Linked DNA regions of Coturnix japonica. The protein of the gene in region 3 purifies or fractionates together with the protein of the main gene of each other region. This does not show direct contact. Links are inferred from orthologs where the notes say so. Each region holds a gene or a part of one and is shown on either strand. Other genes may lie near its edges. The genes, in order: ACTL6A, SS18 and SMARCD2.

Evidence for each region.
Region 1: the proteins of SMARCD2 (region 3) and ACTL6A fractionate together in Homo sapiens (co-fractionation; 5 studies listed by BioGRID and IntAct, with this or other methods). This does not show direct contact. The link is inferred for Coturnix japonica from reciprocal best matches to the Homo sapiens genes SMARCD2 and ACTL6A.
Region 2: the proteins of SMARCD2 (region 3) and SS18 purify together in Homo sapiens (affinity purification with mass spectrometry; 4 studies listed by BioGRID and IntAct, counting the BioPlex papers as one, with this or other methods). This does not show direct contact. The link is inferred for Coturnix japonica from reciprocal best matches to the Homo sapiens genes SMARCD2 and SS18.

Annotation. Positions count from the first base shown.
Region 1 is NC_029524.1:15,351,572-15,361,468, forward strand, and holds the start of ACTL6A (actin-like protein 6A), read right to left. Parts: upstream 5,930-9,897; 5' UTR 5,792-5,929; coding exon 5,767-5,791; intron 4,794-5,766; coding exon 4,717-4,793; intron 4,497-4,716; coding exon 4,322-4,496; intron 3,718-4,321; coding exon 3,617-3,717; intron 2,482-3,616; coding exon 2,384-2,481; intron 1,961-2,383; coding exon 1,866-1,960; intron 1,636-1,865; coding exon 1,529-1,635; intron 1,445-1,528; coding exon 1,355-1,444; intron 1,167-1,354; coding exon 1,105-1,166; intron 800-1,104; coding exon 685-799; intron 348-684; coding exon 267-347; intron 1-266.
Region 2 is NC_029517.1:93,979,751-93,989,547, forward strand, and holds part of SS18 (protein SSXT), read right to left. Parts: coding exon 9,794-9,797; intron 6,626-9,793; coding exon 6,549-6,625; intron 5,424-6,548; coding exon 5,339-5,423; intron 1-5,338. UniProt on the Homo sapiens protein: Appears to function synergistically with RBM14 as a transcriptional coactivator. Isoform 1 and isoform 2 function in nuclear receptor coactivation. Isoform 1 and isoform 2 function in general transcriptional coactivation.
Region 3 is NC_029542.1:1,254,425-1,264,221, forward strand, and holds the start of SMARCD2 (SWI/SNF-related matrix-associated actin-dependent regulator of chromatin subfamily D member 2), read right to left. Parts: upstream 9,126-9,797; 5' UTR 8,987-9,125; coding exon 8,819-8,986; intron 3,170-8,818; coding exon 2,985-3,169; intron 1,572-2,984; coding exon 1,529-1,571; intron 1,133-1,528; coding exon 1,010-1,132; intron 896-1,009; coding exon 776-895; intron 584-775; coding exon 488-583; intron 1-487. UniProt on the Homo sapiens protein: Involved in transcriptional activation and repression of select genes by chromatin remodeling (alteration of DNA-nucleosome topology).

The DNA.
Region 1 (9,897 bases), on a different chromosome or scaffold from region 3:
CCCAATGTACACGATACAAGGACAGTCAGAAACAGACATTAACTACTTAGACAGACTGAAACACTGAGTACGAGTCTAACATCCTGATTTAGCATTTTGTACAACAAAACAGTAAGCCTGTATGTTCCCAGATACATAAAACTTAAGAGCATTATTATGCATTATCATTACCCTAGGAAGTTCATATTCCTTTATCAACCACACTCAAGTAAAAAAATCTAACAGAAATAAATCTATGCCTTCTCCAGGACACATCTGACACTTACCGGCCTGATGTCTATATCACACATCCCAACGCTTGTCGTGACAACGTGACTCACACCCAGCATTGTGTTACCAGATAAACCCTAAAATTAAAATTAGGAATTCGCATCGTCACTGCAAACAAAAGAACCCAAAGTACATAAAAGGATATAAAACACTGAATTAACCTGATTTACTAATGAGAGCAAAACATTCTCATGGAAAGCAAAAAGTACTCTTGTTTTCCCAAGAAAACATGCAGCACTTCTCAGCTCGTTCTTGAACGATGTTTCTTCTGTTACTACCCCAACCCTAACAAATCAGTGCAGACCAATTTAACTCATAAGAGAACCACATGATATAAGCACCACACAAAGGGAAGCCAGGTGATAAACCAGTAATTTAAGGCCTCCTAATTATTACATATTATAGTTGTTTTACCTTTACATTAGAAGGGTCAAATAATCCCTCAGGAATTTTGAGACGCTCAGCACCAAAGTCACAGTTATAACCATTGGGGAACTCGTAATGAACCGTTGGCATCTGTGCAGCTACCCTACACGGCATTCAGAAAGCAACACATTAAGGTACAACATAAACAAGATGTTACCCCGGTATAAACCAAAGTTTCAATGGGAATACTGTGATTTATTTAAATGATGCTTTTGATAATATTATGATCTTATGGAATATTACATAAGCCACCACCTAGACATATACTGTTTCTCTACTTAAAGAAATGAACAGATGTTATTTATCTTTGCTTCATCTCTCAATAAAACAAGCCAACAGCAATGAACAGGCAAAGCATTCCATGCACAACTGTTAACTAATTTCACAAGGAGGAAAACAGTGACATACTGTTCATCATAGGTTGAATCTGATACTTGGAGGACAGAAGCTTGGAAGTCCTGAATGACACACTGTGGAGATAAGAATTATATGGTTACAAGAACGTCAGTCAGTAATTCAATAGAACTTACAGAACTGAATTGTTTTGTTTTGTTTTAAATATTTTCTAGTTCTTGAAGAGGAAAACATCGCATGCTTGCAAACAAGACTTTGTTACAAGATGCCCAGGGAGGCTGAGTTGGAGAAGTGACACACTTACATTACACATGTAGTTGTGCCAAGACCTAGTGACCTGGGGTAACTTCTCTTTTCTCTTCCAATTCGCTGGTGACCCCTCACGAACTGCCTCCTGAGGTTGCAGAGGACATAACTGTCAGTTCACCATTTAAGCTCCTTCCCCTCAAACAAACACTAAGTGAAGTTACTTTCCCACCTTTGAAGCAATCATATATGGAGGAATTATCTCTATATTCATTTCCTGAAACAGTTCTCTGCACTGCATAGTAATGAAGTCTCCTGCTAGTGGTGATTTTACAATACCTAAAAGACAAAAGCAACAACAACCCACCTCACCTAACTTGTAAAGCACTGAAATCAGAATGAACTCTCCCAACACTTACTTATCAGAGACATGGTTGGGTGTTTGGTTTTGTTTTGTTTTTCATATTTAAAAGAATAGATATATTTAAAAGCAGTAGTTAAACTATAAAAGCAGAAAGCAAGTTAACTTGACTTTGATACTGCTGTGCTATTACCCATGCAAACTTTACCTTGCTGAAGTACATATCCATCATGCACTGGGATAGCTGTGGTATGTGTTGCTCCGCTATCCAAGATGAGACCTGTAGATCTCCCATTAGCAAAACTAGTCAAAACTATTAAAGAAAATAGTGTAATTTTCCCCTTAAAAAAGTACCATACAATTTAAGCACAATTAGGAACAAGAATGCCAGTGCTTAATTCCTTGGCTCTACAATCAGGTTTGCTGTTTGCCCAGACACATCACCTTCCTACAAAGTGTGCAACCCCATCAACAGAACTCTTAGCTTTGGAGAAAGATGACAGTCCAAGTCAATAAATCCAAGACAATTCCATCAGTAACCTAAATACGCATCCAACTCATTTAGATTCTAAAGGTGAAAACATGTTAGCACTTGAATAAGGCTACAAATATTCATCTTAAGGCTATAGGAACATCAATGTCTAGTTACAGTATTCAGTAGTTTGGATGACAGCATTTCGGTCCTATAAAAACCACAAAAACCCAGCACAATATTGCAAAGGATACGCTGTTAGAACAGCAGTTTTACACAAGAAAAAAGCAGGGATGTTGTAGTGTTCGAACATCAATTCCGTCAGCTTCTCACGCTTTGCTCTGGTATTCCACTAGAAAAAGAAAATACAAGCAAGTAAATAAGAAGATACACCTATCTTGAGGATTGTTTGAGCATAATAAAAGAAAGCAAACAAAGCAAGGAAGTAATTGGAATTATTTAAGTTGTAATTTCAAATTAAATCAAAATTCTATAGAGAAACAGATTCCTAATAATTTATTTCCTTAGAAACTGTATTGTTCTAATACTACTTCAAAACATTAATACATATCTTCAATATAAGTGCACAGACAGTAAATTTACAGAAAGTAGGCAAAACTCTTGGATTACAGGTCTACTTTAATGCCTTCAGATTTTATGCCCCTCAAGCATAACACTCTAATGTGATAGACAGCAATAACAACAGAGTGGCAAAGCCTTCAGCTACAGCAAATGAGAACCAGCCCAAATAGAGCAGCCATAGACACAGACATGAAGGAAAAAAAACTACTTATCCTTAGAAGCTTCAGGTAAAAGGGATCCCCAACAAAAGACTCTCACTGCCAACCCTTAAATTAGGTCTAGGAAGGGGTTGGTACATTGAATGCATCCCTGAGTTGGCCCTGCCCAGTGATTGAGGTGCTCAATCACTGCTTCAAGCTGTGACTCAGCACTTCCACAACTAAATGACAGAAACTTTGTTCACGTTTTTCTCCAGAAATCTGTGTTCATGCACCTCATTTATGTTACAGGAGCATTTGCTGAAACGAAATTAAAACTCCACTACACGTGTTATTCCCTGTCACGTTAGATGGCAGGCTGATTGCATGCAAAGATGGATTAAGTGTAATATATGAAGACATTCAGACAACTTTTTGCTTTTATTCTGTGCTGTCAAGTGAGGTTATTTTTGATTTTATACTACTTTTTTTTTTTTTTTTTTAAATACATGAAATACAGTAACACATAGTAAGTGTGTTCTAATGAAACGCATAGAAATTCTTTCAAATTTGGGCTTTTTTTTGACATTTTTCCTATTGAGAATACTTTCCAGAACCTGCATGATATTTTTAAATGTTACTTCTGTAGTTCAGTTTTAACACTCATAACCTACAAGCCAGTGCTGGGTTTCTCCAAGACTAATGTCTATAGATTCAGCAAGAAGATACTGATAAGTCTCCTCACAATGCAAAGCTCCTTTTACTCACTGGTGCTTCAGACATAAGGACAGGATGCAAACTCGCTTCAGATTTAATATGCATCTTGTAAGTGTGATCCAAAATTGCCTGGAAACTATCCCAGTCTTCAACTGCAACGACATCGAAGCAAGCAGATTAGTTACTTCTAACTTTTGATCTACTTCATAAATCCACATAAAGTTTTCCTGATGTTTTTTTTTTTCCTAAGAGCTCTTCAGACAAAAGCCGTCCTCAGCAGCCCTATACCCCTCCTGCTTTGCCAAATTCTCATCTATATTTTTTTAAGCATCATGACAGCAAATAAGAATTGTTATTATAAATAATAATAAATAAATAAGTTACAATAAAAGTCCACTGACATTTTGTAAATTGAGCCATTCTTATGGCTGATAGCCTCTGTCCATACACGTTACAGGAACAATATTAGGAACTATTTCCAAAAACTTGTTTCTTAATTGTTTTATCAAAGGAGACAGCTAAATTAAAGCCATCAAATAAACAAGAATCTACAAGTCTCCCATTAAGACATAAAAATGCTCATTATCGTATTAAAATATCTTAAGTGAAAGCAGAACCGTTTCTTTACGAGCCTGCTTTCTAAGTCCAAAGGAAAAAACAGTTGACATGGATAGCATCTGTTTACATGAAAGCTATGACTTGTTGCAGCCTAACAATTGTATCTTAAAGACAGCTAAAAAAGACAGAGCACCATACTCATTCCATTTTTTAAAGGTGAAATGGCCTCCATATTTTCCCTTGGGACTCTCAGGGCATTGGTGTCTATGTAGTACGTTGGGCCCCCTTGTTTGCCTTTGTCACCATCTATCTCCATCAGAGTGCTGCCATTGTCTCTTTCTAGCACCACGCCTATAGCTGTTGGAAAATCAACCTGTAAAGCAAAAGGTAAAATATTGATGAAGGTTATTCATTTTGGATGTGGGTTGTTTTGTTGGTTTTTGGTTTTGTTTTTCATTGGTTTGTTTTTTAGGGGGCTAATAAAATTCAGAGTTTTCCTTAAATAATAATAAACAGTATATTCTGGAAGCTTATGACTAATAAACAAGTTCAAGCTCCAATTGTAATCCCACTGAGTTCATAAAGATTCTTACCTTTGGACAGTCTTCGCCTGCATAGCCTGCTCTCACTGTATACGAGCCAATGTCAAAAACAAGAGCCCCAACTTCATCTGCAAAGATTGTTAACAAAGAAGTAGTGAATGGTTATTGTGCTCTACTGCAATCCTGACCTGAACTTATCTCTTGTCTGCTTTGCTTGCCAGAAAACAAACAAACAAACAAAAAAAAGCCCAATATGATAAAGCATCTTTCCTGAGACACAGAGCAATTTCTCTATTCAGAATTCAAGCTAACTGAGAGCCACCAGGAGGTTACAGATAGGCTGTAACCAGGACACTGCAATACCTTTCATTGGCAAAAGAAAAAGGGCAATTTTAACAGACGAGAGCTGCATCTAAACACAGGCTTGCGAAGCGAGTCCACATGAACTTCATGACATTCAACAAGGCCACGTACAAGGTGTTGCACAGGACTTGAGACTCAGACAGCTGGACATGAGCCAGCAGTGTGTGCTTTCAGCCTAGAAAGCCAACAGCATCCTGAGCTGCATCAGGGGAGGGGTGGCCAGCAGAGCAAGGAAGGTGACCATCCCCTTGTGCCCTGCCCTCGCCAAGTCCCATCTGTTGTACCACATTCAGGCCTGTGGCCCCCAGCATAAGAATGAGATGTTGGAGTGAGTCCAGAGGAGGGTCAAGACAATCAAAGGGCTGAAGCTCCTCTGCTATGGAGAAAGGGAGCTGGCTTTGCTTAGCTTGGAGAAGGTGCCAGTGACAGTTTGTTGCAGCCTTACAGGGAGCTTATAAACAAGAGGGAAACTGACTTTCTACATGGTTTGATAGTGACAGGACGATGGGGAATGGTTCCACACTAAAGGAAGAGATTTAGGTCGCATGTTAGGGGGCAATTTTTCAGAGAGGGCAGTGAGACCCTGGCACTGCTGTGTGTGCCCCATCCCTGCAGGTGACCCAGACGGGTCGGACGGACCCTGGGCCCGCGGCGGCCTCCTCTCCTCACACACGGAGCGATGCGGCGGGAGGGAGCCGGGCCTGAGGGAGCTCAACAGTGTCGTTATATCAGACTCACCTCCGCCGTACACACCGCCGCTCATGGCTGCCCGCTGCTCAGCGCTGTGCTAACAATAGCACTCGGTCTCTCGCCCCGCCGCCCGGCTCAGCGCAGCTCGCAGGCCCGCGCCTTCCCGCCAATGGCAGCGCCGCCGCCGTCCGCCCACCCGCCCGCACTGCAGAGCGTTACCCAACAGAACGGCTGAGTGGGCACAGCGGCCAATCAGAGAAGGGAGGGAGGAGGGGCTTGCTTATGAGTAGCCAATCATGAGGCGGGAAGTGAGGAGCTTGGTAGAGGAGAGTGAGAGCAAGCAAGTGTAGGTGCAGTGCGCGGGAAGGGCGGTGTGAGGAGAGAGGGGCGGGAGGAGCTGAGGGAGGAGTTGGAGGAGGAGCTGAGGGAGGAGCTGAGGGAGGAGCTCTTGAGGTGGGTGTGCCACAGGATCACAGAATGACCCGGGTTGGAAGGGACCACAAGGATCATGTAGTTCCAACCCCCCTGCATGGCAGGGCCACCAAACATACACCTTTACTAGATCAGGTTGCCCAGGGCCCCGTCCAACCTGGCCTTGAACACCTCCAAGGACGGGGCATCCACAACCTCCCTGGGCAGCCTGTTCCAGGGCCTGACCACTCTCCTAGTGAAGAACTTCCCCCTAACATCCAACCTAAATCTTCCCTCTTTTAACTTCAAACCATTTCCCCATGTCCTGCTATTGTCAGCCTTTTCAAAGAGTTTTATAGGTGTTTGCATGAGGAAGATCAGCACAAATCTTTCTTTGCCACTAGTTGTACTGTGTAATGTTGGTGTGCTTTGATTTATTTTATGGTGCCCTTTAATGTGTTATAGTGATTTCTAGCACGTGGCACTAATACCCAAGGTAGAGTTGGTGGAGAAGGATGAATTAATTGCAGTTGGGGAAGGCTGTAAAGCAAAATGGGTGTTAAAACACTGGGGGACGTTTCTTCAGCTTGTGCCTGTACTTGGGCTTTGTTTTCATAGTGGTTCATAACATCCCTGTGGTAACTGATGCTTTGGGGCAGACCCTGCTCTCCCCAAGAGTGGCTTATGATAGCTTTGTGGGTGAGACAGGGGGCCCAGGGGGGTTGGAACTTCATGATCCTTGAGGTCCCTTCCAACCCAGGTCATTCTGTGAGACACCAAGACAGCCGTCTGCTGCTTCATTTATCTGTAACTTTTGCAGCACTTGAGATCTCCCAGTGGTGCCAGCAGAAGAGGCGTGTGGCTGTGCAGCATGGGGAGAGGGCGTTCCTGTGCACGACCAATCTTTCCTGCTCAGCAATTGCCTGGTGCCGATAGTGAGAACTGAATGTATGCTGCAAGTCCTGCTGTTGTCTGGAAGCCTCAGGATTTGGTGAGTGCAAAGATAAGAGACTAAATCTGTGCAAAGAAGCCTGGAGGATCTGGGGAGGGAAGTTCAGGCTGTTAGCTGTCTTAGCCTTGTTTTTTTTTCCCACTGTTTTGCAGTTGTGTTGGTAGTTACATCATGCAGCATCGCCACTGTGTTAATAGTATTATACAGTGACTTTGCATTTACTTTACAACAGTGTGGTTGGCCTCTCAAAATTCAATGCAGAGGAGAAATGGAGTCCAGGAATCTTTTTTTTCAGCTTAAAGAGATGTAAATCTAAGATTATTTCATCGAATTTTTGTAGGCTATCCTATCTAGAGTTCTGCCACCACTGTGCATAATGTAACTGAATACCTTTGTTTTATTTCTTTATTTTTTGCATGTTTTCCACAGAAACAAGAGTTATAAAGTCAAAGTAAATAGAAGCATTGAATGTATTTTATCTGCCATAGCAGTGCTAGGATGCACTGGAGAGTGGAGGGGAAAAAAGAAAAGAAAAATAACCTATACTAACTATAATCTATACTATATAATAAAAAATAACCTATACTATATGCTATACTATATGCTACTACATGTTACTGAACCTGAAGTGGTTTCTGTGAATCCGAACTAGAAGACTTTGGGCCATTTTCCTTGTTCTCAATGTAGTGTTTATTTGCTGAACCAGCTTAGGTGTGAAGCAGAGTTTGCCTGGAACTTGTACTGAGATAAGTTTACTGGGCTAAGCCAGCTCTGGCCAGAACCAACTTAAGTGAGCCTGTATGGCTTTTCTGAGATGAGTCCCTTGTGTACGGATATCTCATTGGGCTCAGAGCTGGCAGCACTTACTGTTTCAGGCTTAGAGCTTGGTCTGAAGTTACTTTGGATTCTTGCAGGGTTTATTAGCTTGGCAGCAGGACCAAACCTGTGCTGGCTTAGTACGTCTCATCTGCACAAACAAAGCTACTTTCAGTTGGGTAGTTGGCTCGGTCTGGTAAACAGAAGATCTTTGTATCAGCTGAACCTTACCATTATGCTGGAGTGTTTTGATTCCTTATGCTTCTTCTCACTGCCAGAATAAAGATTTGGCCACAATAGAATGGGGAGCAAGGAGCACAGGTCTCCCATTTCTTGGGCAGGTAATCTGTCTTTAACCTCAGAAGGCTCAAATTACTGTTCCCAGAGTCCCAGGAGGGTGCTGTGTTGCCTCAGTAGTAGATTTAAACTGTGATACCACACAGCTTAGAATAATGGCTTTGTGCAGCCAGAGGTAAGGAATCCAAAAGTCAAAACTTCTTTGTTGTTTTTTTTACAATCAAGAATGCTCAAGAAAGAAAACAATCTAGCAAGATGGGATGTTGAGTAGAACTAATGTGGGCAAGTCTCAGATGCTTTTAAACTAGTGCATTTAAAAAACTGGATTTGTGCTGCCATTTGTCTGCTTCTGCAGGTGATAAGATTGTAGTGTGCATTATTTTATAGTATGTGACAATACATAACCCAGCTAGAACTGACTGCGTGAATATCTCTATCCTAGTTAGCATCTGATCAGATTTTGCTTTTTGAGGTGCAGACAAGAATAAAAAAACATGAAATGCACAGCTGGAGCAGGTGAGGCCTTTTAAATTGTATCGCTTGGAAGCTGTTTTCAATTGCATTTTTGCATATACCTTAAATATGCCACACAGTGTGTGCCTAGTGCTTTCACACTCAATAGTAGATGTGCAGTCCTAGGTGCTGAAGACACATTTAGCTATTCAAGTCTTGAGGTTGTGTCATATATCCTAAGTGTGGCTGGACCGACTTGGTAGTTGATGGCTTGTCTGAACTACTTGCTCTCAAAGGAAGCCTCCAGTGACTGCAGGTGCAACCACAGTTGGTGGCCTAAATGACTTTTCCCTGTCCTGTGTCAAAATGATTGGACTTGCCCCTGTCCAACCTTGTTGGAAAAACTTGTTATCCATTACTCAGGTTTCTCCAGTTAGGGTGGAAGTCACCCATTGGACTATTTGGCTGTGTGAACTTGTCTCTCATGAAGCTGTGATCTGAGTTGCAAAGTGTTAGACTGCCATGGTGGAATTGGAATAAAGGTGGAGCAAGAATAAGGAATCACTAGTTTTGAATGCATCTGTGCTAAAGGACAGACTGTGTCCGTCAATTTCATAACAACATGGCTGACGCACAATGTCTTGAAATGTTTGCAAGAGTCTGTGATAGTCTCCTCCTAAGACTCATTGGGAAGCCATGTGCTCTGTCTGCAGCTCTGCACCAGAGTCATCTCCTTCCCTTTCACCATCTGGATTTGCCCTGTTGTGCTGCCCAGTGCATTCATGTGAGTCAGTCTCATGTGCTGAGTCAAATCAAGTTGATGTGGTTGGGAATGATTAACGAAGATTTGCAACGCTTTATTTAATACTTAAAAGTATTTTATTGGCTTTTAGTTTGTAACTTTTTATGTGAAATATGCCCAGGACATGCTACATTTATTCTAAAAAAGGTAAGTTTAGTAATACCAAGGAGAAGATTTTTGTGCAGTCTGTGATAATAAATGGAAGGTAGGTGAAATATGCCTAGAAATTTAGGCTCAACAGCAAAATGCAATTGTAGAAAAGAATTAGAAGCTTGGATTTGGATGAAGAAGAGGTTTATGGCAATCACAGAGCACGCAGTGGCCATCTATGCAGTGTTGAACTTTGCCTTCTGTGGTTTCTAAACATGCAGTGGTGCTTTCTGTCCTTGTCAGGCAAACAGTAATAGCAAAGGCAGTGTTGTACCGGGGCTTCACTTTGCTCAAATAA
Region 2 (9,797 bases), on a different chromosome or scaffold from region 3:
TGGACGCCTACCTGTGTGACGTGGTGTAGGGAGCCTGCTTTGGCAGGGGGGATGGACTCGATGCTCTCTAGAGGTGCCTTCCAACCCCTACAATTCTGTGATTCTGTGATGACCTTACTGGCCCCAAAAGATACAGAGCAACTTCCAGATTTGGTGTTGTTACAGAGAGTCAAAAAACAAACCAGGTGAGGAACAGCTCACCAAACCTATGTTATAAGGATTTGTCCCTTTGGCCCTTATGTTTTCTAACAAGCTTGTAATACTGATCACATTACAAGACTTCCTCCTCATGAAGAGAAGTTTCTTAATTGTATTCTTCCACGCACTAGAGTGAAACAAATAGAATAAAATCTGATTATTTTTAAAACGTATTTTTTCGCCTAATATCCCGCAAGCATGTTTTTACATATGATGAACACGTAGGCAATCAGTGCTCGTGCAGGGGTAAAAACATCCAAAACCTCACACAAAGAAAATGGAAACAGATACTCATGTGCTGGCCACAGAACCAAGTCAATTAATGGATGCAGATCTCTCTTGTAAGGGCTCATACAGCTAGATCACAGCACACTGTGTTTACAGCTGGTTGTTACAGTCATGCTTAAGAACTAGGCTATTGACAGCAAAAAAGAATTACGTCTCATCTCTAATAGACCCACAATACTGTATCACTTCTGGAAAAATCTCCTTCACCCTTCCACTGAAAGTGTTTAATCTCCAAAATCATTCAAATACAGGGACGATGCAGGACTACTAGAATCGTGGTACTTCAAAATAAATCTAAACGCTCTCAATTTCTCGTTCCTTAGCTACAAAGACAGCCTAACTAGAAGCTACAGACATCATCAAAGGGGTCATATCGCTCTCACTTTTGGCTCACAAAACAGAGTAAATATTTGTCTGAGAGTTACAAAAAGACTTAGATGAAAGAACAACGTTCCTTCAAGATTCAAGATTCCAATTCAAGATTTCCACTGTCTTGAAATCTTCTAGTAACTGTACAGAACACAAACCTTAATTTATCTACGCCAGAGCTGCTCTGGTTGCCTCTCGTTCAAAGAACAGCTGGGAAATGGTCCTTCTGTTTAAGTTACTCTAATGTGAAACTTCACACCAAACAGAAGCATCTAAATTTCTTGTTTTAAAGAGCACAAACACTGACAGAAATCCCCCTTGGAGTGTACCTGCACAATATAAAAATGATGAATGCCACACCATTCCTTTTTTCAGAGATTTTAGCTTGGTTACTATTCTGCTCATCACCCCCTATCTAGGATTTGTCTTTCAAAAATCTATTCTAGAAGTTACTGTATTTCTGAAAACTACTTTTTTAAACATTTAATAGGAGTGATTTTTATCCAAAATTCATGCTTTACCTACAACTAATAGCTCACTTGCTTCATGAGAGGAAACACTGAATCTTTCTTTTACACCCTGATGCCTATTACTTCAATTTACAGTTGAACCTGAGTTACAGAATCACAGAATGACCCGGGTTGGAAGGGACCTCAAGGATCATGTAGTTCCAGCCCCCCTGCCTGGCAGGGCCACCAAACATACACCTTTACTAGATCAGGTTACCCAGGGCCCCATCCAACCTGGTCTTGAACACCTCCAAGGACGGGGCATAATTATTATTTGTGTTTGAGTTATTTGTGGACTTCTGAAATGCTCATCCAGAATAACATACCGTTACTGCTTTCAGCTTCTGTTTGGAAAATAATTTAACCCTGTCATTCTCTATGTGAAGAATTAGGCCCAAATTTCAAAGACTGATGCCAGTTGTGAACGTGAGGAAAGAAAATAGCACTAACAGATTTTCCACTATCATACAATAGAGACTGCCTCAAACATTTAGTGTATAACTTGTCACAAGTCACATGCGTTTAGTATTCCTTTCACCCTTGGGAACTTGAGTTGTACTTGCAAATGTTACTTTAAGTTACTAAAGTTGTTAGATCACCAATTTATCTTAGAACTATTTAGTAAAAACAATGATTTGGACTGCGGCAAGAGGGGAACTACATTGTGAAAGACGGATGGAAGAATCACACAAATCCTAGAGGCAGCTTTATTTATGAGATAAATTTCTCAAGCAAGAAAAAAAAATGACTTTATTAATTTTATTAATGAACTTTTCAATATTATGATATCAAGAAAAAAAATGTAACAAGACGCATACATTTTCCTGTAACTCGAGCACTGTGTTTCCTTCACATTTAGAATTTAGTTTGCTAGCAGAGTTAACTCACTTTAGTAACAAAGTACAAATTATTAGCCTTCATTTTCATCACAATCCTGAAGTGCACACAGACATCAAGAGCTCTGTGCGCTGTGTAAGAGAAACAATGAGAAACTTCTGAGTTTAAAAAGACAGAAAGTCCCCTATCTAATAATTATTGTAGACCTCTCTATCTGCAGTTATAAAAACCACTAATGTGTACACGTGTAGGACTGACCTTCTCCTCTTGTTTCTTTCAGAAAAGTTATCATGAGTGGCTCTCTCATGAATTTCCAGTAAGAAGCAGTGGGACAGGAGAGGAAAAAGGCCTGAACAAATAAGTCTAATTTCATTCTTTACAGAAAGGGTAGTTAGGTACTGGAGTAGGCTCCCCGAGGAGATGGTTGAATCGCCATCCCTGGTTGTGTTTAAGAGCCGTTTGGATGTGGTGCTCAGGGATATGATTTAGTGTAGGGTTTTTAGAGTTAGGGTTCTGGTTAAGCTGCGGTTGGACTTGATGATCTTCAAGGTCTTTTTCCAACCTGGGTAATTCTATGATTCAGCAGTTGGTAATAACCTTTTAATGCCATTATCTCAAGAAATCCTAAGAACTAAAACAAAGGCTGAAGAGAGCAAGATGTAGTTCTAGACATCACATAGCTTCAAATTTCCTTGCACCTACTATATCAGGGGGAGGGCTGGAAGTCCCAGTAATGACCTTTAATTGCATCTACTGTTCAAGGACACCAATATTTTGGTGTTACTTCCCTTGAAAATAGACCAAAAGAAACCAAATACATCTGTATAGCAAAGAACACAAGACAAGCTCTTGTTGGGAAGCTTACCCAATATGGTGATGACAAACAGATTTTCCACTGCTGTCGAAGGAAAGCACCTGTAAACTTAGTAAGATGCAACAAAAAGTTGCATCAACTGCAGACTTAGCCACCACTCCCATCCTGTTCAGAAGACGCTACCCTGAGCAATGCTGCTATTGACACTGCCGTGGCTGGTCAACTCAAGATTAACCTCATGCTTCCTTTGTATTCCAATGTGCAGGCAGCTCTCTTGTAACTGGAGACACGCATCATAAATGTTGAATATTACAATATACAACTGAAACAAGAACTTTATTACAATATCAGAACATCTTTCCAGCTCTCTTCACTCACAGCCTCCAATGTTTACTTCGTCTACTACAACTCTTAAGCCCTCTTAAATTATACGAGAAGCTACTGCAACAGCAATACTGTGACATTTTTATATTCTACTACTTAAAAGAGAAAAGGAGGTGTTCACACACATTATCTTGCTTCATATTTCATTGGTGTCAGCCACAAAACTTGAATTTTACTAAGACTGTTCGAATGCTGCCACAGAAGTGTGGTGAACTGAAACGTAACACTTCATCAGCTTCCTTAGGTCTTAAGTGAAAAACTAAATGAAGCAAGCTTGAAGAAGTTTATCTTACAGTAAAAAAGCAGTAACTCACACGTTCCCAAATCCTCCTGGCTAAACCTCATTGGGAAGATAGATTAAAGAACAATTTTTTCCAAAACCTTCAACAAAAAAGTTGTTCTTATCTGATTAAGTTACTTCATTTCAAGCAATTCTTCAACAATTTTACTTAGTAGGTGAAAGCATCTATGCTTTACTAAGACTGAACATCTAAGTTTAATTGTGTATTACTTTGTATTCCCTGTCCAGTTATTCAAAGCAGAAAAAATGCTATACTATTTTGTCATTGCTGAAAAATATTCCTTACACTGAGGAGCAGAAACGCACTTCAGTCCTGGTCTGCAAAAACCTTTCATGGCCTTACCCTCACTTTTTTCTTAAGAAGGGAATGTCACCACATTCAACTCTAAGAACAGGGCTGTGCACCAGGGACTAGAATAAGGTCAAATTCATTTCCACTTGTCATCAGAACCAGGATATGAATTAAGCCTCCAAGAACATATTAGCTGAGTAACATACACAGCCCTCTTAAAGGTTTCCTTCCCTTCCCCCCACAGCTACAAGCTTGGATTTATAAAGAGAAGCCTCCACAGGCACAACAGGTTGGACATAATGAAGCACCGTTTCTATAGTCCTCTAGGTACCAACTTGAAAAGATGCTTCGCTAGTAGCAATGATTGGAGAACACTTCTCCAGAGACCAAAGAAAAAGTAATTCAATTTCAGTTGGTAAGAACTAGTATCTAGGAATGGCTGTTTTATAGACATTCTTTTTAGCTTCATATTACAGAAATGAATCAAGACTATATTAATTCAAGAAAAGTCTTATGACTAAAAAACAAAATAACTTCCTTGTGTTACTCGCAGTGAACTCCCAGAGCTTTCTGATTAACACATAACCACAGTCAGATAGCAAGTTACTTTAATGCTCATTGTATCTTTCCTTGCCACTCCACAAACAGAAAAAATAGTGGAAAAATTGGTGGTGTCTTTTGAAATAAAAAGTTCGGTGATACAGAGAAAATACAGATTATTTTTTAAAAAGAAGCAAGTATTATCCCAACAAATGCTTCAATGCCAAAGATATGCAGTGTTTCAAGATAAACCCACGCAACCTTATTTCTTGTTCATTAGCACTATCCACAATGCATAGAGGTTGCTTTACGATAAAGGAGAGAAGAAAAGAATTTAAGAGACCCACCTAAAGTACCTCAAAGCTGATATTTACCCAACCCCATTCCATGAAAGCTGAAGAATGGATGATATTCCAGCAAAAAACAAGAAGTAAAACAAAACTAAACACCTCACTTTTCCCTGATGTAAGGGGAAAAAGAGACTACTGTTGTAAGAGCTGACCAAGAGCCACACCAGGAGACTTCTTAGTTGAGAAAAATCTAAGTCATCTGCAAGCCAAGCCAGACATCCTGCATGCACAACATGCTTAATCCCAGAATATAAGCCTTCAATTAAATAACTCGGATTGTGAGCATAACATAAGCAGTGAGCTAATGAGACTTATATGACATGAAGAGACATTCCATCTTGTATTCACTGCATAGTAAATTGCAGACCGTTTGGACAGTTTTTCAATCATCTCCCCCTCCCCGTGAATCCAAATTATTACACCTATTTCCTCAGTGTTATGCTAGTTTGTACTTACTGCTGGTAGCAGAGACTGCATGTTCTGGTTGGAGTCAGCTATAGTAGCTAGATAAACCAAGTTTGTGTGTAGCATCTGCTGGTATCTACCAAAATGAACAAAGGAAAAAGAGGCCTTAAGTCACAGTGTGTCAAGAAACAACTTCCAACAACTTACAAGAGTACTGTTCTTAAGAATTCTACGTGCTTTCCTCACATCTCCCTACTGGCCAACCTTTCCCAATTTTTCTGCCAGATCTGGCTTGCTTGCCCTCTACAGTTTCTGTATTGCAAATTAAACCTAAAACATGGTGACCTCAACTGTTTCACTTCCTACCCTAAACAAAGTCACAAGCAGGCATTTAGAGTACGTGTCTGTATGATGTCATTTCCAACAGAAACACTATAAAAAGAGCTCTCTTTCCCTAATGTCCCTAGATGTGAGGTATCATATCGAAATGAATCATGACCAAGGACAGCGTAAACATTCCATCAGGACCGAGACCTGGATATTCACTGTTCAACTTTTTTTCTGCTGCAGAACTAAATTCCAGAGTATCCACATCCAGCCCAGAGTCAAAAGAACAAGCCTGTAAGCAGGAGCAGAGTAACTACAGGCTTGCATACAGCTTAATATAGTAACTCTACTCATATCAATAGAAGTAATCCCCTGAAACAAAAATACCTACCATTCATCATTCCAGCTTTCCTCCCACATTACCAGCCTCTTAGAAAGGGCCTCAACAGCCACATTGTGATAACCCATCTGTCATCACATGGAGGAATATCTGTCCAGGTCCACAGCTGTCTCACCCTCCAGAAACTCCATTAGACAACAAGTTTACATGGTATATTCTGGCAAGCCAAACTTAAGGTGGAGTCTGTTTGTTCTCAGGCAAGTGATAAACAGCAGAAATATTACATCGTTTCGAAAGGTCTAAGAAGGAAACTACCTCCTTTGCAAACTGTAATTACAACACAGAGGTAGATCTCTCAGTTACACAGTCCCCATTTTTCTGTCATTATGCTATCAACTTGTACTACTCAAGTTGCAATGTTTCAGTGATGGAAGTGATATTTACACAGCAAAGAAAAAAATTAACTGCATTATTTGCAGCAATATTTTTCTACTGTTCTCAGCGTGGTCCTCCTTCAAAGTGAGCTAAATAAATCAACAACTGATCTAGATGGAAATCCACCCAGTCCACAGTAGATTTGGATTAATGTCTTACTGAGAGCATTCAGATGTCTTCCCTTTGTTTTGGTAGTCCATTATACACTGAATAAGATGGTTATTTTCATCCAGCATCTGAAAGAATAAAGAAATCTGAGGTAAGTGTAACATTCTTTACGGGAAAAAATAACTGAAGGTAAGTTGTACTCTTAAAAGTTTGATTTCTTTTTTAAAATAAAGAAAATTAACAAAATTTAAACAAAATTAGTATTCCAGAAAGCCCTTCTTTAACCAGTTACTTACATCTTTCGCTCTTCCTCCTTAGTTTTATAGGTTCCAGTACGAGGGTTTTAAGTCATTATTATAAATACATTTATGATGTTCCCTATTTAAGTACTTACATTCTAACTACAAGAAGTTCATGGGAAGTTTTCTGAGTTTTTATGTAATCTCAACCAAAGAACAAACTTGAAGACTTGGGGCATAAATCTTCCTTCTCCCTCTGAAGCCCACAATCCAATAATAAAAGGCACTGTAATGGTTAACTGATAGAAACTGAGCTTAACATACAAGATTGTTTCAAGGAAATGCCTTGAAAAGTAAAGCCAGATTTACATTACAAATGTTCTGTATAATTACACGCTCTTAAAGCGTGGTTTAACCAGCACAATAGACAATATTTCAGAAGCGTTTGGGAATATGAACACATACTAATTACTTTTCTGGGGAAAATAAAGTTCTAAAACCATGGGAAACTGCAGGTCTCACAGCCTTCTGCAGGAAGTACATGAAATAAAGATGTTCTATGCTAACAAGCAGGAAAAAATAAACAGCCTAGTTTCACAGAATCACAGAATGACCCGGGTTGGAAGGGACCTCAAGGATCATGTAGTTCCAACCCCCCTGCCTGGCAGGGCCACCAAACATACACATTTACTAGATCAGGTTGCCCAGGGCCCCGTCCAACCTGGTCTTGAACACCTCCAAGGACGGGGCATCCACAACCTCCCTGGGCAGCCTGTTCCAGGGCCTAACCACTCTCCTAGTGAAGAAAGTTTCCCAAACTTGCACATCCTCATGCTCATATCTCTGTCTTAACCACTCATCTGCACTCTGATCAGGCAGAAGTTCAGTAAAACCAAGGCAAATCTGAGCTACCAACCAAGTTATCCAAGCCTGCTCAGCTAAGTGGAAAATCTTACATCAATTTCTTGGTTTCCCCAGTGGAAAACTAGTTCAGATCCTTGCAGCCTATCAAGTGTCACATCCTAGATCTGCAAATCTGGTCACTTCTTCTCTCCCCTTACAATATGGACGTGACACTCAGCTACTGAATTTCACAAAACTAATACGAACTTAATCATCTTTGAGGCTCTTCCCATCTTCTGAACACCGAATCAAAACATCACAAATCAGAATGTGGCTGAGATTAGCCAAGTTTATGATTCTACAAGGGAAGCACAAGCACTATAATTACATCACTTCCATTTCCCTGGGGATCCAACTTTAGCAAATTCTACCAGAAAAAAAAGACAACTTCTTTGTTAATCCTTTTGACTAATCCACCTCTACTACAAAGGTCATAAGCCTTAGAACCTTATGCAGTCCACTCAGGATTTACATCCAGATAAGAATAAAGCAAAGAGTTGAGTCTTCCCTAAACTCAAACTAGCAATTCACCAAAATACAGGAGAACAATCAGTGAGAAACAGATCTTTCCTGAAATTGCTAGACCTGGAAACATCACCCGTAAGCAGGAACCACAGACAGAACCACAATATTCCAAGTTTCTGAACTCCTGACACTATGCAGAACTACATCTGCAAACTCCTAAGAGGATCCCGGACACACTCCTACACTGGCACACTTCATATGTGCTAACATCAAGTGTTAAGGAAACCCAGTGGCCAAATTCAACAGAAAAAGAGAACGGAGAAAAAGCAATTAGTATAATTTATACAGTACACAGAGTACTTGTAAGGGAAGCCTTGAATGAAGGACCTCCTCAAAAAGTCTCCAAGCATCTAGAGAAAGGCAGCATTTACTTAAAGCATGTTAGCACCTGGAGTGGTGATGTGCTGAACAAGCTGCCCAGAGAGAGAAGCTGTGGGGCCCCATAACTGAAGGTGCTCAAGGCCAGTCTGGATGGGGGCCTGGGCAGCTGAGCTACTGGGTGCCCACAGTACATGGTGGGACTGGGTGGGCTTTGAAGTCCCTTCCGATCTAAGCCATTCTACAATACAGATAGAAATCAGAACTGCCAGCGAGATGGTTGTTCTCTCCACTGTGGCCATACAGGCTGGACATCTTTAGGGAAAATAAAGAAATAAAGCTAGGAGAAAAGCAGAGAAAAACAAACAAGAAGGAATACAGTTGTATGCCTGACAGGACTGAAAGCACTGTTTTATATGTTTTTTATCAAGCTACTGCTGATGGAAAACCAGTTCTTTGAAGAAGTTACAGACACCTGCCATCACAAGACAGCCTAGTTACTGGCTGGATGAAGGCACCTTCAAGACTCCTGACAACTTACATGTGCCAGTTACAAAGATTCTCCAGCTTTAGCTATAGCAGAGTTCTGCCAGTACACTAACATCAAATTACTAGCTTGACTACAGCACAAGAAAAACCTAATTATCTACATTCTCACACTTAAGTAAGTGACCTGAAGGCAGCTTTCTACCTGGTGGATATGCATTTCCCACCTTCATTTGTGAAGCACAGACTGTTGTGGTACTGTGCAAGGTTCCACTGAAGTCCCATACCTTCTGTAACGCCCTGAACTGCAAAACCCTCCCTGCTGACACCCACGTTCTTTCTTAAGCCACAAGCTGATTGTATCCGACGAGCTCCCACACAAGGAGCCTGCCATCATTGAGTGGGAGAGATCCCAGAGCAAGAATTGAGAGGGCCTCTCATGGAAAAGAGCGAGGGCCTACGGTTAAGCTCCAAAGCACAGCACTGAACTCCCTCACCCCCACCAACACGGAATACTCAGTGTTAGTACATACACACCACAGGCACGCTTCCCTCTCTCCGCAGCCCTGTCACGGCCGCCAGCCATACCGCTTCCCTTTAAGCTTTAGGAGAGGAGCAGAGCTGGAGAGGGCCATGTTTCTCAGCGGCCCCAGCACTCTCCCCACGTAGGCCGAGCCCACAGTTACGCAGGGCCCGGCTCTGTTTTCCATGACGGCCTCGCACAGCGCTTGCAGGCCCGCAGCCCTCCATCGCACCAAGGCCTCAGCCTCGCTCCGCTCCACCCCGCCGTCCCGTCACGGCGCGAAGCCCCGAGCCCTCCCTCACCTTC
Region 3 (9,797 bases):
CTCCCAGAGTCACTGTGGGATCACAGTCCTGCTTCACCCACTATAGGGGCTCGATGCCACAGCAGCTCTCACAAACCATCCCACCTAATGGGGATTTACCTCCAACAAGGGGGTATCACCACAGGAATCAGTATTTGCCATAAGTACAGTCACAAAACTGAAGGAGCCTGGGGCTGCCCAAGCCATCCATCAGAGCAGATGCCTCCCAGCTCCACCCATGGACACGAGGGAGTTAAGAACCAACCCTGGGGCTATCATGGAGCAAGCAGCCTGCAGCTGGGAGCCATCCAGGTGAGAGGGGCTGGGCTGGCCTCACCGGGCTGCCAGCCAGCACCACTGAGCTGCAAACTGCAGCCTAGGAAGTACAGCAACGTGATCCTCGGGGATGGCTCAGCACTGCTGGGTAAGCAGGGCTACCTCCCATTGCACTGAACAGCTCTCATCCCTCCTGGGGTGCAGCCCCGCAGTGCAGCCAAGGACATCTCACCTCCACCAAATGGTTGTCTGGCCCGTACAGCTCTTTGTCCAGCTCGATGACGAGGCTCTTGAAAAAGGAGGAGAACTTCCTCTTCTGTTTGCTTGGCTGCAAAACATTGCGTGCGAGGCTTGGCCTTGATGCTGCCAACACCATGGAGGGCCCCAGCCCAAAACACCGCCTGCCTCCAGCAGCCAGGGAGAAAAAGGCTGCATCTATCCCAGCCAGGCTCTCAGCACAGAGCACCAGAGCTCTCAGCCCTCCTCCCACTGCCACGTTGATCCCTGCCCAGATCCTTACGTCCTCCAGCAGTTTGCCCTCCACGCGTAGCTCCCAAGAGGCCACACGCTCACCACCCTCCCCTTCTTCTTTGGCCGGGGTGAAAGTGTTGGAGATGTAAATCCTCAGCTTCCGCTTTTGCTGTGGAATAGGAAAACAAAGAGTGGGGATGCTTGGAGCGAGAGGATGGCTGCAAGCTCCCATTTCCTACCTCTACCCTCCCTCAGCTGCTTGCCCTCCTGGCCAGCCACGCACCGTCAGTGGTTTCTTGATGGCCTCTTGAATCTCCATCCTCTTCCGAGCGATGGTTTGGTCCAGCTTGCGCTCAAAGGCCAGGAGGTCCATGTAGGCCTGAGATTCTGGGACAAGCTCCCGGATCTATCAAATGATAAAAGTCAGTCCCTCATGTGCTGAAGGTGGTGCTGCATCCCATTTCAAGCCCAGCATCTTTACCAGCCCACAGAGCTGCACTGATTGGAGCTTGTCACTGTACCTGCTCCACATCACAGGCAGGGATTATAACCCTGCATTGTCAAGAGGAACCCCAAGAGAAAAGCTTGGGAATGACCAGAGGTCTGCATCGCAAGCCAGGGCTGCTCCCTGCTCACCCAAAGCCCTGCTTGTTTTAACTGTGCACATCCCTCTCTCTAACCTACAAGACTGAAACGTTCCAGGCATTTCATCCAATTCATCATGCAGCACGAGGTTCAATGAGATCGTCCTACCATGGGGGTTTCATCGTCAACTCCTTCCATGCACCAAAGTGACACTCACCCTCTGTGGCAGGACTTTGTCAGCCATCTTCCTCCTCTTCACCCTGCAATTAGAATGAAGTAAAAGAAATCATCCTGCAGCAACCTCAGGACACTGCAGATCTCATTGGCTGCCTGTCTTGGGGGACACAGCGTGGGGGCTCTTTTGGCCCCACCCAGGCCATGCATGGGGCCAGGCTTTGGGGAGTGCTGTGATGCCATGGGGATGGATCAGTTCAAGCCAGGTTCCAAGATCCTACTGCAGCAAACAACGTGATCCAAGGGGAAATGCCCCCATCAGCTACAGGACAGGCATTTCAGAACTGCAGGAAGGGAATGAAGAAAGGCTGTAAAAGCAACTAATAGCAGAAACCTTGGAAGCAAGTGGATAAGACACTGTACCCCAGGAACAGAGAGAAACACATGGGAAAATGCTCTCTTACTTGGCCCCATTTTTCACAGTTACGTTATAGCCCAGCATGCACAGGACAGTTCCTTTCCCTTGACAGTACCTAAAGCAACAGGGCAGCAAATGTGGCACTAAAATGTGGCACTACTGCTGCCATCCTGAGGCATCCCAGGATTTGGCCACTAAGGGCTGGTGCTGCCACCCTTATAATCCCCTTCCTTCCACAGCCAGTCAGGAGCAGGGAAGCTCAGCAGAGCTCTGTGCACAGCCCTGAGCTCCCCAGCACAGCTGATCCCACGCAGCCACAGCTTTATCCAGCTGCTGACGTCCCTGTTCAGTGGGCGAGGACCCATCAGCCTTGTGTCCTTAATCCCCAGCTTGCTCTGGAGCACAGAATGGATGCACAGCCCTGGCATAGAGACACTGGTCACTCCCTGCAAAGGGATCATAAAGCCATCAGCCTCACTGTGCAGCAAGGGCAGGGAACAGGACCAGAACATCCATTAGGACTGAGGGACCCTGAGGAATAACCTCCAGTAATCTAGAAGCCCTCACAGAAACAGGAACAGAGCAGAGGGATTAGCAGCATCATAAACAAGCGAGGAGCTGCTGGCAAAACCTCATGGCTCACAGAGACCATCCCAAGTAAACAGCCACAGATCTGGGGAGGATCCCTGCAACCTGCCAGAAGCTCTCTGCAGTTCTGCCTGTCTCCTTCCAGGGCTGGGAATTGAGTGTCCATCTATCTCTGTGCCTGCCCAGGACAGCACAAAGCCCCTGAGAACAGGGAATGGTTCTGACAAGCTGCTGCTTAAGCTAAAGCATTCAGCTGTTTGGTTAGCATTGGGGAGATCAGAGCATGGGGAAGCTGCATGCCAAGTGATGCACCCCAGCCTGACCCACCACCCCAGCACTGAGCCCTGGCTGCTTTCCCACCAGCTGCGGTGCCAACAACTGGGCCATGTTGTAGGTTTTAGTGGAGAAATGCAACCAGAAAACAGCAACCAGATGTAGAGAGTGAACCCCTCCGCTCCAGACTGGCTGAGGGTGCTCCTGTGTCAGCCCTTACCCTCTCCTCTGGGTGGCCATGGGTGGCTGGGACTGGGGAGCCAGCAGACGCTTCCTGAAGGGATCCATCATGGACTGTGGCAGGCCGGGTCGCAGTGGGGATGCTGCTCCATATGGGGGTGCTCCTGGAGGTCCCACTTGCAGCCCTGCCATGGGCATACGGCTGCCTGGTGGCATCCCGGGGCGCTGGCAGGGGAGAGAGAGACAAGAGAGGGGGGTGTTAAACATGGGCCCCTTAACCAGGGCAAGGACATCAGGAGGGTGGCCTTCATTCCTGATGGATGTAGTGCTGAATCCTTTCACTTCCAGGCACCTACACAGGGCGTTTACAACCCCCCCCCCCCGTGGGATGTTTAACTTCTGTTGCATGAATTCCAGCCTGGAGCAGTTCTTGTGGTCTCTATCTCCAGCATCAGCAGCTGACTCTGGGTCTGCCCCATGCACAGCCCTTGTGTGCTCAACAAAAGCTCCCAGCACCCCACTGCTGCTCAGCCCTACTTGCTCCAGCACGCTCTGCCTGCTCTCTGTTATTCTCTGATCCTCCAGCTCCCCCCTGGCAAGGAACTGGTGAAGCTGGGAAAGCCACCGAGCCAGCAGAACAGCATTTCTTCCCCTCTGCAGGTTCCCTGACATGCCAAGACAATTCCTGCAGCTCCCCTGCTGCCTTCTGACCCACATCCTGCAGACAGACACAGAGCTTCGGTGCACAGGAGCTAGCAAAGCCAACTCGTTATCCCAAAGGGGCCAGGAGTCCAGCAAGGAGAGCTCAGCCGCAGGCAATGCTGCAGGCTGACGAGCTTATCTGCATGTAGGCATTAATTCCAGTGCAAATCCCACATAAGATCACCAGCAGCAGCCAGCCTGGCCTCAGCAGCTTTTAAAGGCAGGCTCAGAGCCACACTGTGGGTGCTTGGAGCCAAAACCCACTCACCTCCTTCATTGGAATAGCCCAAAAGCCTATAAATGCAAACAACAGAATTGCTGAGGCTGCTGGACAATATATGAACAGCTCTTGCTCCACAGTCCATAGCCACGGGCATCCCTCCCAAGTGCCAAACCCAGCAGGAAACCCCCAAAATACACCAGCTTCAGCATGGAGGAGCATTCCACAGCTGGAAAGCCAAAGAGCAGCAGCCCAGGAGGTGGCAGGATGGGGACTGCAGGAGGAATTCATCAAGTACACGCACGAAACCCATTGCACAACCATCTGCTGCTTTCACCTTTGCTTGGCTTCCCTTTGAAGCTGCTCGCCAACCTGCCTGAGCTACGAGGCACACAAGCTTTTCCTAACAGCCCCCAGATGTTTTGCTCCCTTTGATCAGCCCCGTTTTTGGCAATGCCTCGCTGCAAACAGGGCTGCACAGGCTTTGTCTGCAGGGTTCTGCTCGCTGCAAGGCACTGCCTGGGGCTGTGCATGGCTACAGCAGGATGGGCGCTGCAGGAACCGTGTTGATTTGCCTGCAAGGGCTAATGGAGAACAAACGGGCAAGAAAAGAGGCTGTGACACTTGTGATTAGCAGCAAAGACATATGGAAACCCTCAGAACGGAGTCATTTCGCCTTTTTTCCCCTCCAATAGGAAAAAAGGGAAGGGGGAATCCTCCATGTGCATCTATTTCTCAGTTTGCCCTCAAGATTTGCAATGGAAAAGTGTCTGAGCAAAGCAAGGCAGCCTTTGCTGTGGCCATGCAGTCCTGCTAAGGGCAAACAGCCCCCTCGGCTCTGGACACGCAAACACAGCACAGCCATAAATCCCCAGCTAAGCCATTAAGCAGCATTACAGCCCCAGCAGGGTGAAGCCTCCAGCACCCTTGAGAAGCCCTGCAAATTGAGCAGGATGCAAAGAGGGCTTAAATTCAGGAAATTTTATTAGAGCAGCTCAAATGGTGACCTTCCTTATATCCTTCCTGGCTAACAGATATCCTCTCCCCTTCATTTGGGGCAGCACTGTGGTCCTACCCCTATCAGATGCTTCTTCATCCTCCCCTCTCTGCCCCACAACCTCCTCCTCTTCCTCCTCCCACCACCAACAGGGCGGACAAAGGGCAAAATCTCGCAAGCAGGAAAGAGCTGGATGGCATCCAGCCCTCCCCACAGAGAATGAGTAGAGCCATTTGGAAATGGGACAAAAAACAGCTTGTTTCTGTTCCCTGCCAAAGCTGGAAGAACGAATCGGGCTGGCCGCGGAGCAGAGGTTCATCCCAGGTCAGTGCACAGGCCTCTTGCATTTGGGGAGCTCTGTTTAGAGTCAGCTTCAATTGGAGCAAGCAGGGGCTGGAATGCTTCTTGATGGACAGTCTGCAGCATGACAGGAGCATTGCAGCGTGCCAAAGGCCTCTTCTTGAGGAAGGACAGGCCAGAAAGCAGATGCTGGTAGCAGAAAGGGGGAAATAAAGGAGGGTGGGGTGGTGAGCAGCCATAACATTGAAGGATAGATCTGCAAGAAGGGTGAAGATTACGCTGGAAGAAAAGCAGTAAGTCAGAAATCAGCCTCTCTCCAGAACCCAGCAGTGAGGGGGTGCTGCACAAACCTCCTGCACTGAGCTCACCCCTCCCACTGTGGCAATGCCAGGACCACGAGCAGGGTGTGAGCTCCCCAGCATGCAAGAAGGCTGCAATGCATTGAGCACCAGCAGCTCCCTGCTGGCTCCCCAAGCAGAGCCTTGAGGAAGGCTCATAAAACCCCCCAAACTGCATCGAGCTGTCCTGATGCAATGCCCCATTTCCACTCAGTTTGCTCTTGGCACCCACTAAATAATTGGGGAATGAAAACCCATGTGTGTGTCCTCACCCAAAAGGTGCCGGGGGGCAGCTCTTCCTGCCAGCCCCCCCTGTGCATCCCACATCACTTCCTGCTGTGGTGTGGGCTAAAGCAAACCCTGCCCCAACAACAGGAACCCAGCTCTGCACTGGGCTGCTCAGCCCCAACAAAAGCACTGCTTGGGATGAACTGAAACCCCTGCAGCACACCCCAAAACACTTGCATTGCAAACCCCATCCTGCAAGGGGAGGAGACAAAGTGAACATGAGCAGGAAGCTGTTGCTGCTGGTGAGGCGTCCGTCCTTCGCTGCAAGCTCTTGGATGCAGGCAGGCTGCTGCGATGCTCAGATCAGCTGCAATCCAGTGCTCCAGCAGCAGGAGCCTCAGCTACAAAACTTGGTGAGGAAGCATTAAATTAAAGAGCGGACAGCAAAGCAACAGGCAGCGAAGCCGAGCAGACTGAGGACACGTGCTGGCAACACGTCAAGCACCAGCTGAGATATCTGGGCTCAGGCAAACTTGCCCACGTGTGGCTTTGCAGCTGCAGATGATCCAGGTCATGGGCTGCAAGCAGTGCAGGCTGCAGCGCTCACACCAGGACCCAGCAGCCATGCTGACACTGAAGGGGAAAGGCCACATTAAGTGAAGTTTTCTCAGCAGCTTCCACACCGCAGGGACTTGGCAAGAGAACAGAAGGGATGCACGAGTTACAGCCTGGGACTTTCACCTCGTGCTGATGGCCATGGAGAGCACAGGGTAAGAGGGGGAAGGAGGTGTAAAACAAAGAGCAACCTAAGGAACAGAGGCTGCAGCAGGCAGAGAAAGAACTCAGGGGATTTATGCCTTAAACACAAGCAGGAACAAGGAAGAAAGGTGTTGGGTTCCTGCTTGAAAACGTGGCAGCCTCAAGTAATACAAAGGGGGAAGCAATGGGAAGAGTGGAAAACACTGCTCAGATGTGCAGGGAAAGGCTCTGAGGGTCCCTATGGAGGAAGACAGAGCAAAGGCCTCCAGCAGGAAGCTTTGGAGATGCTCCCACCGAGCAGAACCTCCATGAGCCTTAAGGAGAAACAAAGGGTGCCCTGAGCTCTGCTGCTGCCTGCTTCTATCCAGCACTGAGAGCACAGCATTGCTCTGCTTTGTGTCACGGCTTCATTCTGCTGGATGCTCAGCCTCTGATGAAACCTGCCTTGGAAACAGTCCCCCACTGGGAAGGGTGGGTCATGCAGCAATGCAAGCTGCAGATCCCTGCTGTGTGCTGCACTTCCAGCCTTGCTGCCGTCCCCAGGCCAACCATGGGACAAGCACCCAGCTCTCCTCTCCTAATGGGATCCAGCAGGTCTGTTTGGAAGCAGAAAGCTCCAACTCCTTCCATGCACAGCCACGCTTCCTCCAATATCACTTTGTTAGCAGTTGTTTGGCTTGCAACAGCCCTTCCGTCCCACGGAAATGGGATTCCTGCTTGTCAGCAAGTGCCAATGAAATGCTTTTAACGGGGCACTTCATTAACTCCACTTCTTCTTTTTTTTGCCACTGATCTACGCCAGCAAAGCGACAGCACAGGGCAACCTCAAGGCCATTCTGCACAGCCCCTCCTCCACTGCATCACAGAGCTGAGCCCATTCCCTACCACAGCATCAACCTGATAACTCGGGAAGGATCTCCCAAGCCTGAAACCTCCATTACAACAAACAGAGGGAACTCCTGATGGATTTATGCTAACCTGAGCCTTGGGATGGGGGTGGACACACCACCGTGCAGCTGATCGCCCATTGCATGAACACACTCCCACTCCTTTCTGCTCTGGAAACATCAGTGCTAGAGTGAGTTGTCCTCCCCATTTCCCTTCTTGAGCTGCTGGTGCATAGCCAGGCAGGCAAGGGATGTCAAAGGATTAACATACATTTAATAATCCACTGATTAAAGAGCCCCTAAGCACCCGCTGCCATACATGAGGGCTGCTGTGTTCTCCTAGCCAGCATAATGCAGCAGAAGGAGCCTGACTCACTGGTTACCCCCTGAGAAGTCCTGCGGGCACCGCAGTTTTGACCACTTGGTGGGGAGGAGCTGCTTTAAACAGGCCTGCAAATTGCAAAACAAAAGACAGACCGGATCGATCAGCCCCCAATCCCCTCCCTGTGCCAGCAAACTGCCGGCCAGACACGACAACAACGACTTGCATTACCCAAACACTGCAGCACTGCCATATGCTCCCAGTCTCACCCTACCCCATCCATACGCTCCCAACACCTGCCATGAGTGCAGTATTATGGCCAGCATGGGATAAGGGGGGGGGGTGAAAGCAAACATATGTGCCCCTGTTTACCCACAACAGAGCGATGCCCGCTGGGTTCTGCAACCTGGGAAGGTCGGGATGAAGCCTCCCTATAGCTCTGAGTCACATTACAGCCAATGCAGGGCCCTATTGGCCTGGCTGAGCTCATCTCAGTTTTCACTTCGGGGTTTTTCAGCTTCACGGGTTGTTTCTCCTCCTTTGATACAGCAGTTGGAAATTCCCCCCATGTGGATGACTGGATTTCTTCGGTTTGGAACTCAGAACTCATCGCAGAACGAGGCTTCTCCATAAACAACCCCACAACACGTGGGGGCTGAACCAACAGCAGAAAAGGCAGCAGAAAGAGAGCAGAGTCCACAGCTTCCAGCACTGCAGCGGGTCACATTTACTCCCCTTTATCCCCATTCCTTCCCTTTAACGTTCACCATCACAGCTCCATCTCCGGAGCTGGAAATGCACAAGGATGGCTGTGATGGACCCTCCTGGGCCAGGACCCCCACAGCACAGCCTGGGGGGGTACGGGACCACCTCCATAGGGCAGAACACTTCTCCGTTAACTTTTTAATGGGGGTGGGGGGCCAGGACAGCCGCCCCTATGGAGCCCCGCTCCCCCCCCACCGCCAGGGCCCCACGTTCAGGAAGCAGCGCCGCTTCCTCCGGGCCCAAAAGGCCTCTGAACCCCCACGGCCCCTTTGGAGGCCTCTAAGTAACCCCCCAATCCCACCTCCCACCTCCCATCCCCAATACAGAGCACAGAGCCGCCCCCCGCCCGCCCTCACCTGGTACTGCGCTCCCGAAGGCCCCATCGGACGATATCCCGGAGCGGCCCCGGAGGCCGGAGTCGGGTTGGGGCCTCTCATCATACCGGGTCCGGGCCCTGGAGGAGGAGGAGCGGCGGAGCCGGAGGGAGGCAGAGGGCTGAGAGGGAAAGCTCCACGGGCGGCCATGGCGGTGCTGGACCGGGCAGAACCGAACCGGGCCGGGCCTAAAGCTGGGGGGGCGGCCCGGCGCTGTTTACTCGGAAGCGGCGGCGCCCGGAGCGGAGGGAGCGCGCGGCGTGAGAAGCCACGCCCCCCACCCCCGATAAGCCACGCCCACTCCCACGATAAGCCACGCCCACTCCCACATTAAGCCACGCCCACTCCCACATTAAGCCACGCCCCTCCGCTAAACCACGCCCTCAGAGAAAAAAGCCACGCCCCCCGATAACCCACGCCCCGATAAGCCACACCCGTTCACGCCCTATCCTATAAGCCACGCCCTCCACTAAAGCCACACCCTTCACTAAGCCACGCCCCACCCAATAAGCCACGCCCCAAAGCAAAAGCCACGCCTCCGATAAGCCACACCCCGTTCACTAAGCCACGCCCCCTCCGATAAAACCACGCCCCTTCCACTAAGCCACGCCCCCAGAGCAAAGCCACGCCCCCCAATAAACCACGCCCATCCACTAAGCCAAGCTAACTCCAATAAGCCACGCCCCTTCCATAAGCCACGCCCCCTTCAATAAGCCACGCCCCTTCCAATAATCCACGCCCCTCCGCTAAGCCACGCCCCCAGAGCAAAGCCACGCCCCCTCTGCCAAGCCACACCCCCTCAAAAGCCGCCACTAAGCCACGCCCCCTCCAATAAGCCACACCACTTCACTAAGCCACGCCCCTTCACTAAGCCACGCCCCCTCTGTGTGGCCACGCCCCTTAAACAAAGCCCCGCCCACTTGTGAGGCCCCGCCCCCATTGGCTGTATGTGTGCACATGT